Caenorhabditis elegans: one gene and its partner. The protein of the gene in region 2 purifies or fractionates together with the protein of the main gene of each other region. This does not show direct contact. Each region holds a gene or a part of one and is shown on either strand. Other genes may lie near its edges. The genes, in order: F52C12.2 and T01B7.5.

Region 1 (5,450 bases), on a different chromosome or scaffold from region 2:
TCTACACAAAACTCCGTAAATCTACAGTAATCCCTCGTAAATCTACACAATGAGCCTCCGTAAATCTACATTAACCCCCGTAAAACTACAAAATGCTTCCGTAAATCTTCACAATCATCCCCCGTAAATCTACAATAAGCTCCCGTAAATCTACAGTAATACCCCGTAAATTTACAGTAATACCCCGTAAATTTACAGTAATCCCCCGTAAATCTACACAAAAATCCGTAAATCTACAGTAATCCCTCGTAAATCTACACAATGAGCCTCCGTAAATCTACATTAACCCCCGTAAAACTAAAAAATGCTTCCGTAAATCTTCACAATCATCCCCCGTAAATCTACAATAAGCTCCCGTAAATCTACAGTAATACCCCGTAAATTTACAGTAATACCCCGTAAATTTACAGTAATCCCCCGTAAATCTACACAAAACTCCGTAAATCTACAGTAATCCCTCGTAAATCTACACAATGAGCCTCCGTAAATCTACATTAACCCCCGTAAAACTACAAAATGCTTCCGTAAATCTTCACAATCATCCCCCGTAAATCTACAATAAGCTCCCGTAATTCTACAATAATCCCCCGTAAATCCACACAATTCTCTTACAGTACTCCACACATCGCCGGCGCTCGTCAACTTTCTTCCCTTGGAAATGCTCGAATCCATCCAAACTTCCACGATTTTACAGAATCTAAAAGTTAGTACGACACTCCGAAATCCCGCCGAAATTTTGGTGGCGCCAAATCAAAAAATTCAAAAATTTCAGCCGCCCACACCCAATCGACCGCCGTGCCGACCGCCGTCTTACTGGCCATTTGTAGATCACCATGTGACAAATTGGCAGGAATTCCGATTTCAGGCCGAGCAGGCCCGACAGGAGACGGTTTTGAGGAGGCTTAAAAAGTAGATTCTAGGAAATTTCTAAAAAAAATGCTCCAATTTTCCTGTAATTTTCAGATTACGCCCACCGTCGCACGCCGAGCTCCGCCGAGAGCGGATTACTGTAGAAAATGTGGATTTTCACGTGTTTTCGCCAGCCTCTTTCTCCCATCGGCTACCAGCTCGGCCGTTGTTCTCACTAATTTGTTATAGGTGAGCATTTTCGAATTTTTAACCAAAAAATTTGAAATTCCCGGCCTTTTTTTAACCCGGGAAAGGAGAAATTTTCAAATTTTCCGCTTTTTCAGCGCCACCGGACCACCGCTGAAAATTTCGGAGCTCGCCGAGCTCGAAAACGTGGTCTTCGCGATGGAAGAGGCCGGAAAAGTGAATTTCGTTGCGATGAGTGGAGCGTCGATTGATCTCAATAATTATTTGTGTTGATTTATCGATTTTTTCGCTATTTTTATCGTATTTGTTGCTCTATTTTTCCCCCGAAGTTGTTCAATTTTCAATATTCTTGTTCAAACTTCCGCCCAAAAAACTTGCCGGTTAAACTGGGCGCGGGTACGTTATTTCGTTATTTCGGAGTGTTGTTGTTTTGAATTTTATCGGAAATCGTTGTGAAATAGGGGTTTTTAGTGGTTTTAATGAATTTTTTTTTGAAAAATTGGTTTTTTAAACTAAATTTTGATTTAAATTTAGGTATTTCACCAGGAAATATCGATTCTCAAAAGAAAATCTCCGAAACTCGGTGGTCCGCTAAACAACACGCGCCATCGGGATTTCGGAGCTTCGTTGTTTCTATTTTATTTATATTCAGTTTTTACCATTTTTTTTCTTGATTTTTCTATATTTGAAGGTGTTTTTTTGTGTAAATAATCGAAAAGATGGTAACAATTAAAAATATGTTTCTTCCAGATTGTCGGAATTTTGCAATGGGAAAAGGAAAACATCGAGTTGTGAAGCCACGAAGAGCGGATAAACCGCCGAAAGAGCGAAATGTGGAGGAAGAAGTTGAGACAGAAGAGGAAGAAGAGGATATCGAAGATGAATCCACATCGGAGCCGGGCTCAGAAGACTCTGACGACGAGCCGGAAGAAGACTACAAATTCCCATTTCGTCTGGCGATGTACGATTTTAATCAGTGCGATCCGAAGCGATGCTCCGGGAGAAAGCTTCTTCGTGCGAATTTGATCACAGAAGTGAAGCTCGGGCAACGATTTCCCGGATTAGTGCTCAGTCCAACCGGAACGTACACATTGGCTCCGCGAGACCGTCCATTTGTCGAACAGAATGGGCTCTGCGTTGTGGATTGCTCATGGAAGGAAGTCGAGAGAACTCCGTTGCATAGGTGCGGGAAAACGCATTAAATCGAGGAAAATCTGGAAAATTTTAGAATTCTGGAAATCTGTTATAAAAAAAAATTTTCGACGAAACATTTTTAAAAAATCCATTTTCAAATATTTTCAGTGGAAAGTCGCTTCAAAATCAGCATTTTTGAGGATTTTTCTCAATTTCTCAGTGAAAAATTTCAAATTTTAAATAAAAACCTGAGAAATTCAGAATTTCTAAATTTAAATGTTAGAATCCCCCGTAAATCCACACAAAAACCGTGCGTAAATCCACATGATGTTCTCGTAAATTCACACAAGTCTCCTCCCGTAAATCTACATGAAATTTTATTGCTTGCTTTAAGCTCTGAAAAATCTCAATTTTTTTCAAAAATAAAAACCACAAAAAAAATTGCCTGAAAAATCTAAAATTTTAAAATTTTAATTCCTTGTGGCAAATGTGCTCTACTGATAATCTAGGTGTTAATAATGTTATTTTTACTAAAAATAACATGATTAACATCTATGACTATCAGTAGTTCACATTTAGTCACGCGTAGGGGGAACCTCTGCCCAAAATTTCATTACTCCACCTCAACAACTTAGGAAACTTAATAATGTATTATTAAAGCCATTATCTTCTCATACAAAAAGGATTTATTGTAAAATATTATCCTTTATTAAACATTCTCGATTTTATTTTCAAAAAACTGCAACAAAAAAAAATGGCTAAAAAGTTAGAAATTTCAAGTTTCGGGTCTCGCCACGAAATTGTCTGGGTTACTGTAGTTTTCATGGTGGGGCCCACGATTTTTTATCAAATATGATGAAAAATTGGTAATGGCTATACTCAAATAGAACATTTGAATAAAACTCAAAAATTTTGAAAAAAAAACTAAATTTAATAAAGTTATGGGGTGATTCAAGTAGTGTAGCAAAATGTATTTAAATACATGTTTTTATATACTTGAATACAGTTGTGACGTAATTTATCAACACTTTTTAATTTTCCGACATTACTTGAATAACCCCATAACTTTATTAAATTTTTCTGAAAAAAATCGAAAATTCGCAAAACATGAAATTTTCTGTGGCAAATGTGATCTATCGATAATCTAGATGTTAATTATGTTATTTTTTTTACCAAAAATACCATTATTAACACCTGCGACTATCAGTAGTTCACATTTAGTCACGCGTAGGGGGAACCTCTGCCCAAATTTTCATTTTCCCCTAAAAAACTTGCAATTTTTCCAGAGTAAAAGCCCCGGAGCACCGTCTTCTTCCATATTTGGTGGCAGCCAATTCAGTCAACTACGGAAAACCATGTCATCTAACATGTGCCGAGGCGATGGCCGCCGGTCTCTACATTTTAGGCTTCCAGGAGGCCGCAAGCCGCCTCATGAAGCCCTTCTCCTGGGGAGATCACTTTATTGAGCTCAACAAAGAGCTTTTAGATCTCTACGCGGCTTGTGATACACCGGAAGACGTGATTCGAGCACAAAATGAGTATTTGGAGAGAATCGATAAGGAACGGGAGCAACATTCCCGGGATATTGATCTACCGCCGAGTGGTAGTGATGAAGAATATGAGGATGAGGAAGAAGTGGAAGAATTGAAGAAATGTGAGGATTTTCGACTGGAAATTCTGAAAAAGCGAAGAAATTTGACATAAAACTGAAGAATATTGCAAAAATTTCAAATTTTTGATCATCGAAAATTTTAAATATTTGCAAATTTACTAAAAATCACTAGAGATTTTGGTTTTTTTTCACAATTTTACTGAAAACTGAAAAATTCTAATTTTCGTTCATAATTCGTACGAAATTATTTAATTTTTCGGAAAAAAAAATTGAAAATTAACTGAAAATCACAGTTTTCATAAAAATTCTTTGAAAACCTTTAAAAAAAAAATTTTTTTTTTTGAGAAAATCGATAAAAATTTGAATTTTTGAGAAGTTTTTCTATATTTCAATTTCAATTTTCCAAGAAAAAATATTAAAAAATTGAATTTTCTGAAAAAAAAATTTGAAAAAAATAATTAAATGTTTTCTTCAGTTTTCTGGGGAAAAAATATAAGAAATTTATTTTTCTAAAAAAACATTTTTTTATTTCTATAAAAATGCGTATTTTTCGGGGAAAAGACGATAAAATTTTAAATTTTCCAAAAAAAAAAGTTGAAAAAAAATTTGAAAATTCGAATTTTAGGAAAAATGACAAAAAAATTGGAATTTTCTGTGATAAACGAATAAAAATTAAAGTTTTAAGGAAAAATTTATTTTTAAAAATTTAACTTTTCTTTTTAGAAAAGTCACATATTAGACCGAAAAAATTGAATTTCTCGCTCAAAAAATCGAGAAAAACGCATTTTTATATCAAAATACCCTAAAATTTATAAAAAATTCCACAAAAAATAATATTCCCGCTCCAAAAATCGAGAAAAAAAAAATTTTTTTAGTGCAAAAAATCCCTAAAATTAATTTTTAAATAATAATTCCTTCAAAAAATTCAAAATTTTCAGAAAATCTCCCCATTCACTGCCGCCGAGCTTCATCAATTTCTGCACATTGTCATTTTTCGTTGGATTTTTTTTTGATAATTTTTTTCCTTAATTTTTCGTTTTTGTTATTGTTTGTTATTCATGTTTCTTACTTGATTTCCGGTTTTTTCTCTCATTTCCCCGCCAAAAAAAAATTGGAAAATTTAATAAAAATTTCAGGTAAAAAATTCAAAATGACAGCGGCGACGACAAGCTCCGACTCGGAAGGCGAAATGGATTTTGAGACGACAATTGAGACGGGATTCGGGTATCAAATCGATGGATTACTGTATCAGGGAGCCGAGGCGAAAGTTACAAAGTGTATTTGGTTGGGAAGGCAGGCTATTATCAAAGAAAGGTTCGAAAATTCGACGAAAATCGGCTAAAAATTAGCAAAATTCGGTTAAAATCTCACTTTTTCACACAAAAATTCAAATTTCCCTCTGTCCGTACGCTGCATGTGCGCTCCACTGAGAAAACTCAAAAATTCAAATGTCAAAAAAAAAGTTCGGAAAAAGTTGACAAAACACTCGAAAATATCTAGAAAAATATGAAAAATCGTGCATTTTCACTCGCAAATTCAAATTTCCTGTCTACCGCAAGATGCAAATGCGCTCCATTGAATCAATTGTGACTCTTACACTTTTAATTCAAATTTTCGTAAAAATTTGGCACAAATCCCACAAAAAAAA
Region 2 (7,397 bases):
CGGATGCACAAAGGACCGTCTGCCAGTCTTATAAGAAAAAATAACATGAGCAGATAAAAAAGTGCAAAGATTGGGGGAGCATTGGGGAACAGTACTCGTCCGCCCATTACGTGAAGCCTCGGTAACGAGCAGCTGAAATTACAGTGACACTCTGATTCTAAGAAATTCAGGAAATATAATATTGCGAAAATGCCACAGAAACAGGTGAATTTCTAAGCTGAAAACCAGTGCTTGTCTCAGTTAGTCACTGCAGCTCACCGAGCATCGGAGATGTTTGCTTCAACACTCTGATAATTATAGGTTTATATCTAAGCGAGCTTTTTGGGGAAACGAAAGACACTGAGCCGACTGAATGGAATGTAAAATGAGAAAATGTAGAATGAGGCGGAGCTGCGAGCTGATATGTGTTGGTGGGGAGAATGACTGTTGCCAAGACAATCAAATCTCCAGAGGGGAAATGAATCTATCATAATCAATGAGGAGCCATGTGATAACAATGTATGAAGATAATAATGAAGAAGTAATGTGAATATGGGAAATGACAATAATAAGATAATAGAAGAAAGATATTCGTCGGGTTTCAAACCGATATAAGGCAATAAAATAATTATTTTCAATAAAATTGAAAACTCAACTTCATTTTGGTAGAAAGGGCGATTTTAGGAACAAAAAAAATCAACAACGAAGGTTAACAGGATAAATGAAAAATGAATAAATCAAAGAAAACAAGATATTAACGATCAAAAAAACCAGGAAAGTCCAGCTGAATGCAGTGGCAACGGAGAAATTGATGACACCTGAAAATTAAATTGGTTGAAAAGGTAATGCAATGTTGAGAAAATTGATAAAAATTAATTTTCAACCGTTGATATCAGAAGTTTTGGATGATAGGCTCTTTTTTTTTTCATAGAAGACACAAAATAAACAAAGGTCATCTATAATTTCTGATGAACGAACATTTTTAGAATTCACACGAGGACTATAACAAAACGATCGATTGTAAAGAAAATAGAAAATGCATTTTTTAATCAGTTCAAAGCCAAGATAATTCAATTTAGAAAAAAAAAAATTAATAATCAAACATGCTGCAGACCACTTTATATCATTGAATAGAAATAGAGAAATATGAAAAACGTCTGCTTATCAATATGTGATATGTGACTACAATTTTCGTCGTAGGCATTTTCCGAGAGCTATGAAACTTTCAGTGAAAAATTGTATGAAAGAAGAAGAGGCTGGAGGCAATAGAATTGATGAATCATAGGAAGACAATCAGAAGAAAGCTTATCATCGAACACGCAAACACACGCAGGCACACACACATATGTGAACGCCATCAATTATTAAATTTTAGCCTAAACTTGATTGAAATAGATCAGTTATTTTCTTTAGCATTCTAGGAAAAAGTAATTTAGTTACGGGTATTCGCCTTTCTGACATGAAACGAGCTATACGAATTATTGAACAAATCCGAAGAGGCTTGGTTTTCGAGAATGACACGTCACAATTACTTTAAATTCTCATCAATGTGTAACACACATCAGACTCAAATCTCAAATTAAAATATTCATTCAGACAGACTAGTCAACACCTTTTCGAATTTGTTGTATTTAAAAAGATTCAAAAATAGAGAAACAGTCTGAAATCACAGTTTTATAGTACACTTTATTGCTCTTATGAAATTATGAACAGCTCGTAGACAATACGAGGTCAGCTGAACTAAAATGGAAAGTAGCAGGTGGCTAGGGCTCCAGTCGTTCATGGGGACGGGGGACACGAATAAAAAATAGGATACTCGCTCTCACACACACACACACGGTGGTGCCAGACCTCGCGCACATATTGCCGGGGTCGAAAAGAGAGGAGCGAAATGACCGATGGAGGAAGAATAAGAAGAAGGCTATCCTCTTTTGATGAATATAGCCCCAAAGTGACCGGGCACACAAAAACACATTCAACCGACTAAAAGGGCAAACGAGAGGAATAGGAAAAGGTTAAACATACGTACCATATGATAAGTAAATTCAGGTTTTTCATTGTTTTTATATGTTGATAGGATATTTATGTTGAAAGTTAATATTCACATTGTTTTCGGTTTCATATGCTAATTATTTTCATGTGTAAAAGAGTGAAGCTCATTTGCGCAGTGGAGAGTGAAGAGTATGTCGCGTGATAAATATGACATGGCACGATATCAGAATGAGATGTCTGCATTACATTCAACTCACTTTTTTTAAGCGATAAGCTTAGTCGACTTGATTGTAGATGCACGAATTCCGCTCGTTTCTCCAGAATATTTCTGCATTTCGCGACGAACGTTTCCAATCTGAGACTTGACGCGCTTCTCGATGGCGTGGACCTTGCGACGATTTTTAGTCTGAAATTAGAAATTATTGAACTGGGAGACTTCAAAAAAAAAAACACACAACGCAGCTAATTGGGAGTTGCAGTAAAAATGAGCATAGTATACGTAACCAAGGATGAAACTCTCAAGTGTCGTCGCCTAGACGTTGAATTGTCTATGTCACAGTGAGTCTATTTTATTTCTTTCAAGAAAAATTAAGATTAAACAAAATCGTATTACTTATCTGTCTGAATAAGTCATGGTTATATGCTTCATTTGTGCTCGGTTTTCTTTTTGAGTTAAAATATGCTTCAGATAATTCATTACACTACGCTTTTTAAAAAACTTTTTTTGAATTCAGTAGCAAGCAGGTGTGATACTGAATTAATTATTTTCTTATCACAACTCTCGAAAAAGAATCTTAAAAAAATAGAAACCAAATAAGCAAGTTGAGATTTCGGCAGCCAATTACTCGCTGTGGTGGGGAGCATAGACGCCGTCTCGACGTATTGGATTTTTGGGTTGGAGCAAAAAATAGAGAGTTATGTAGTGTATTCATATTTTGATCTCACATGAAACTCGGCTTTGTGAGACTTTTTTGTCAAACAAGAATTGTTATTTTTCAAATATATTCATGTATTCGTGAAAGCATTGTAACAACATTTTCATGCACAAGAAATGTCGACCCTACTCATCGAATTATTTTTCATACACTAATTGTTTATGATACAAATATTTTTGGTATTAAAAATAAGATAAAAAATCGAAAATAAAGTTACCTTGCTGGTCTTGGCCTTCTTTTTCCCACGTCGTTCTGCGTATTCACGGTTTTTGGCAACTTTGTCAGAGGCCTTTCTTTTTTCATCTGCATCCATTGGTGTGAAGTGTGGATGAATTGATGTGTTATCAGAAGATGTGATTGTTGAAAGATTCTGAAAAAAGTAAATCCAGATCTTAATCCAATTCAGCTATGTTTCCTGATTTTTATTGACAAAAGAATGTACAATTTTTTTAAATTTTACAAACTTTAAAAATCTTTAAAATATACGGCAAACAAAAAATGTATTTAAATTCGAATAATGTTTTCCCTAAACTTACATTGTTCATAATTGCTCCAAAATTCTTCTTTGTAAGTTGAACATCTCCAACCTTCGAAATCAATTCTTCCATATTTTCTGGCTCCGACTCCGCCCATTTCTTGAGCTCATCCAGATGATCCGAATTCGAATGCAAAAAATCTTCACACTCGGTGATTTTCTGAATTTAAAAGTTTGTATTTGAAATTTAAATCAATCGGAATACCTTTTCAAGTCGTTTCAGCGACTCCACTACAGGATGGATGTCAACAAGTGGATCGTCGAGTTTTTCATTGGAAAACTGTTTGGCTCTGAGATTCAACAGGAATGCTGTGTTCATGAGGTATCTGAAAGATAAATCATAAAAATGGAAATTTAGGAAAAGAAAACATACGATGCATATGTCTGGGCAACGTAGACTAACTGCGATCGCAATGCGCATTTTGGAATCTGCTTGATTACATTTTCAAGAGGCTTCACGACGAGATCGAAGATGCGTTTCTGAAAAGTATAAAAAATTAAAATTAAACCGAAAAAAGGGGAAAATTGAACTGTTAGAATGGTGATGAAAAGAAACAAGTGAAAAGGAAGAAGAGAAAGATAACAACAAGAGAAAATGTTATCAGGTGAAAAGGAAACTGGTCACGAGCTCTCCGGAAACAGCTGTATAACAATTCTTAGCCGCTAATTAGAATTGAAAGTAGCAATATATAATTGAAAAACAGAAAAAGCTGGCGGTCGCTGCCGATATATGTCCAACATCGTTTGGTGTGAATTACAAACCGACCAGGTGAACAGAAACGAGGAAAACAAGACAAGTTATGAGAATAATTAGAATGTGATGTTTGAGGATGAGAACATACGAAACTAACTCGAGCAGTTCAGGCATCGAATTCTTCAGACACCAGAAGGGCACTTTGCTTTCGCTTTTTAATGTTCACACATAACGGCGTCTGATGTTGGATGATTTAAATCGTTTCAATTGTGTGTTTTGTCCGTTGAGAATCATCGTTTAAAGCGAATCGTCCAGCATCCTTAGGCTATGATGGCAACCCGTTTTTGACGTAATCAGAGACGATTGCGCGATTTGAGACCGCTTATCTACTAGCCATCGGTGGTGTTTAGTTGAAAGAATGAAGAGAACAGATGAAGTGAAAACGGGAAGATACTGAAAAAGAGAGAACACGAAAAATTAACCTTGGAAACGATACGAATCAGCATTTGATGTTCACAAGTGATAGCTTCAAAATTTAATAAACTTTCGAGAATTGGCATTAGGAAGAAATAGGAAATTATCACAAGAGGAAGAAGCTGCAACTGATACCGGGAAAAAAGTGAAGAGACATTTTAAAAAATTAGAACTTACTCTTGCTTCAAATTGTTCCAGAGTTTTCACGATTTTTTTGTTCTTTGTCCTTGCATTCTCCTCATTGAATTCTAAAACTGTTTCCACCTAAAACTTTTCATTATTTTAATTATTCTTTCAATTCGTTTACCTCGACAGTTTCTTCTTTTTCTTCCTCATCTTCATCGTCGTCGTCAAATAAATCAGCAATGGCAGCTGTCGATTTGTCGATTTGTTTTTGACGAGTCAACGCATCTTCCTCTTCGAGTTGAGCATCTTCCATTTCTTCTTCACGCATTCCGCCCCAATCTTTATCCACGAATCCAGTTCCATAGAAATCTTTCCTCTTTTTACCCCATTTGTTGTCCGTGATATCTTAAATAAATTACGTTAATCAGGTAATTCAGAAAGAAAACTACCATTAACATCGTCATCATCAAAGTCGGATCCATCGTCTTCACTGCTATCCGATGCTTCTGCTTCAACGTTTAACACCTCTTCTGGACGATTGAATGTTTTTCTTTTGTGAATAGCACCCTTTTCGACTTTTCTGTCTTTGTTATGAAAAGTATTGATTTCATCAATGAGATCATCATTTTCGTCTTCGTATGAGATATGAGCAGATCTGAAAATATATTTAATGATTATTTATAAATTGTGAAAAACATTCAACTTACGCTTTCCCCTTCCTTGATGACATAGTTCTAGTATCTGAAATCCAAAAATTAGCAATTTATAGCATTTTCAACAGAGAAACGGATTGCACCGACCGAAAATAAACCAAATTCTGATTTTCAAATCAATGAATAACTCTAATAAAGTTAATTATGCTTTAATCGTGTGATAAACTTCGATAAATTAATTTTTAAATGAATAGAACGAACTTTTACAAGATAAATTATTCAAAAATTGAATTTTCGAGTTGAATTTGAGAAAAGACGGGGGAAAATTATTAGCGGCAGGGCTTTGTGGGCGGGGTTTCTGATTGCAAACTACCCGCGCACTTTATTATTGTTCTATACACCCATTTAATGCTCACCTTTTTTTGTTTTGAATAGAACGAATATCACTTTTTTCTTGAATATGTCGAATTTTATTGACGAATTTGTATTTCTTGGTTATAAAACTTATGAACGATTAGTTCAGTTGATCCCATTATTCTCGGAAAAACCTGACACATTTCGAAAATACTTATTTCGAATACTTACAGAAAACGTTTTTCTGGTTTTAAAAACTAACTCATTTATATGTTTTCTTTTTCAGAATGACTGAATACGACAAGTTTGCCGAGCAGCTCCGTCATCCGGATAACCCAATCGTTTTTCTAGAAGTTACCGCCGGTGGTGCACCAATCGGAACTATTGTTGTAAGTTGACGACCATTCCAGTTTTAATTTGCTATATATTTCATAATTTTTCAGATCGAGTTATTTGCTGATGTAACACCGAGAACTGCTGAAAACTTTCGTCAGTTCTGTACAGGAGAATACAAAAAAGATGGTGTCCCAAACGGATACAAAAACTGCACATTTCATCGTGTGATCAAGGACTTTATGATTCAGGGTGGCGACTTCTGCAACGTAAGTTTAACAATTTTAAATTTTAAAGTTATATCATTTTTTCAGGGCGATGGAACCGGTTTGATGAGCATCTATGGTTCAAAGTTCCGTGACGAGAATTTCGAGCTGAAGCACATAGGACCAGGAATGCTTTCGATGGCTAACGCTGGCTCTGACACAAATGGTTGTCAGTTTTTTATCACTTGCGCAAAAACCGATTTCCTTGACAACAAACATGTAGTTTTTGGTAATTTTTTTTTATTTCAAATTCACGGATAAGTTGATTTCTGTAGTACAAAGAAAGAAGAATACGGATTGTGATTGTGATAAATGTCTCCAACGTCATTAGTTCTCCATCCCAATCCCCTGAAAGCAGTGTTTTAAAAAGAAAATCGCAAATTTTAATGATACCCACTGATAATGTTGGTGATACATTGATGGTGCCATAGTTGTTGTTTTATACTGATTATATGGGTTGAACATGCCAGCGTTAGCATACAATAAAGGAAGTAATGTTTGCAATGAAACGCATTTTAAAAAGAAAAAAATTAGAACGAGAATGCGTGTCATCGTCTAGCTAAAACAACTAGATTTCCTTATATCCTTATCACCTTTTATACGAGATAAAGCTAGTTAATGACGCCATTGATATGTTTGATATTTCTGACCGATCGTTTATTGCAGGACGAGTACTCGATGGAATGCTGACGGTTCGGAAAATCGAAAATGTTCCAACTGGAGCCAATAACAAGCCGAAACTTCCGATTGTTGTTGTTCAATGTGGCCAACTCTAATTTTCACTGTATTGTTATTTTGATCTCGTTTTGTTATATTCACAATAAACTATTAATTACTTCTGATTATATGGGTTGAAAAATGAAATGAAAAGACAGTATAAGTGACTGTTAGTATATCTGGTTCAGTTTTAAAAGCGAAGTAAAGAAAATAAACCTTCAAAATCGAATACTTTCAGAATAAATGCTCGAAACCAACGTGGATCAGAAGTCGTTCAAATTCAAGATCGTGTTGCTCGGCGAAGGATGTGTTGGTAAATCATCACTTGTGCTTCGATTC

Evidence for each region.
Region 1: the proteins of T01B7.5 (region 2) and F52C12.2 fractionate together in Caenorhabditis elegans (co-fractionation; one large-scale study listed by BioGRID). This does not show direct contact.

What each region holds. Positions count from the first base shown.
Region 1 is NC_003282.8:1,951,773-1,957,222, forward strand, and holds F52C12.2 (18S rRNA aminocarboxypropyltransferase), read left to right. Parts: upstream 1-1,806; 5' UTR 1,807-1,823; coding exon 1,824-2,239; intron 2,240-3,476; coding exon 3,477-3,844; intron 3,845-4,740; coding exon 4,741-4,742; 3' UTR 4,743-4,937; downstream 4,938-5,450. Other genes in the region: tsen-54 (tRNA-splicing endonuclease subunit Sen54 N-terminal domain-containing protein), read left to right, coding at 615-703, 773-909, 964-1,098, 1,194-1,329; F52C12.6 (non-specific serine/threonine protein kinase), read left to right, coding at 4,953-5,116.
Region 2 is NC_003280.10:8,714,913-8,722,309, reverse strand, and holds T01B7.5 (Sas10 C-terminal domain-containing protein), read right to left. Parts: upstream 5,477-7,397; 5' UTR 5,466-5,476; coding exon 5,443-5,465; intron 5,391-5,442; coding exon 5,185-5,390; intron 5,141-5,184; coding exon 4,917-5,140; exon of another isoform or gene 4,874-4,916; coding exon 4,787-4,873; intron 3,922-4,786; coding exon 3,815-3,921; intron 3,768-3,814; coding exon 3,647-3,767; intron 3,602-3,646; coding exon 3,443-3,601; intron 3,277-3,442; coding exon 3,124-3,276; intron 2,378-3,123; coding exon 2,234-2,377; 3' UTR 2,229-2,233; intron 798-2,228; 3' UTR 625-797; downstream 1-624. Other genes in the region: T01B7.13 (uncharacterized protein), read right to left, coding at 6,593-6,689, 6,739-6,893; cyn-11 (Peptidyl-prolyl cis-trans isomerase 11), read left to right, coding at 6,030-6,131, 6,186-6,344, 6,390-6,570, 7,008-7,117; Ras-related protein Rab-21, read left to right, coding at 7,302-7,397.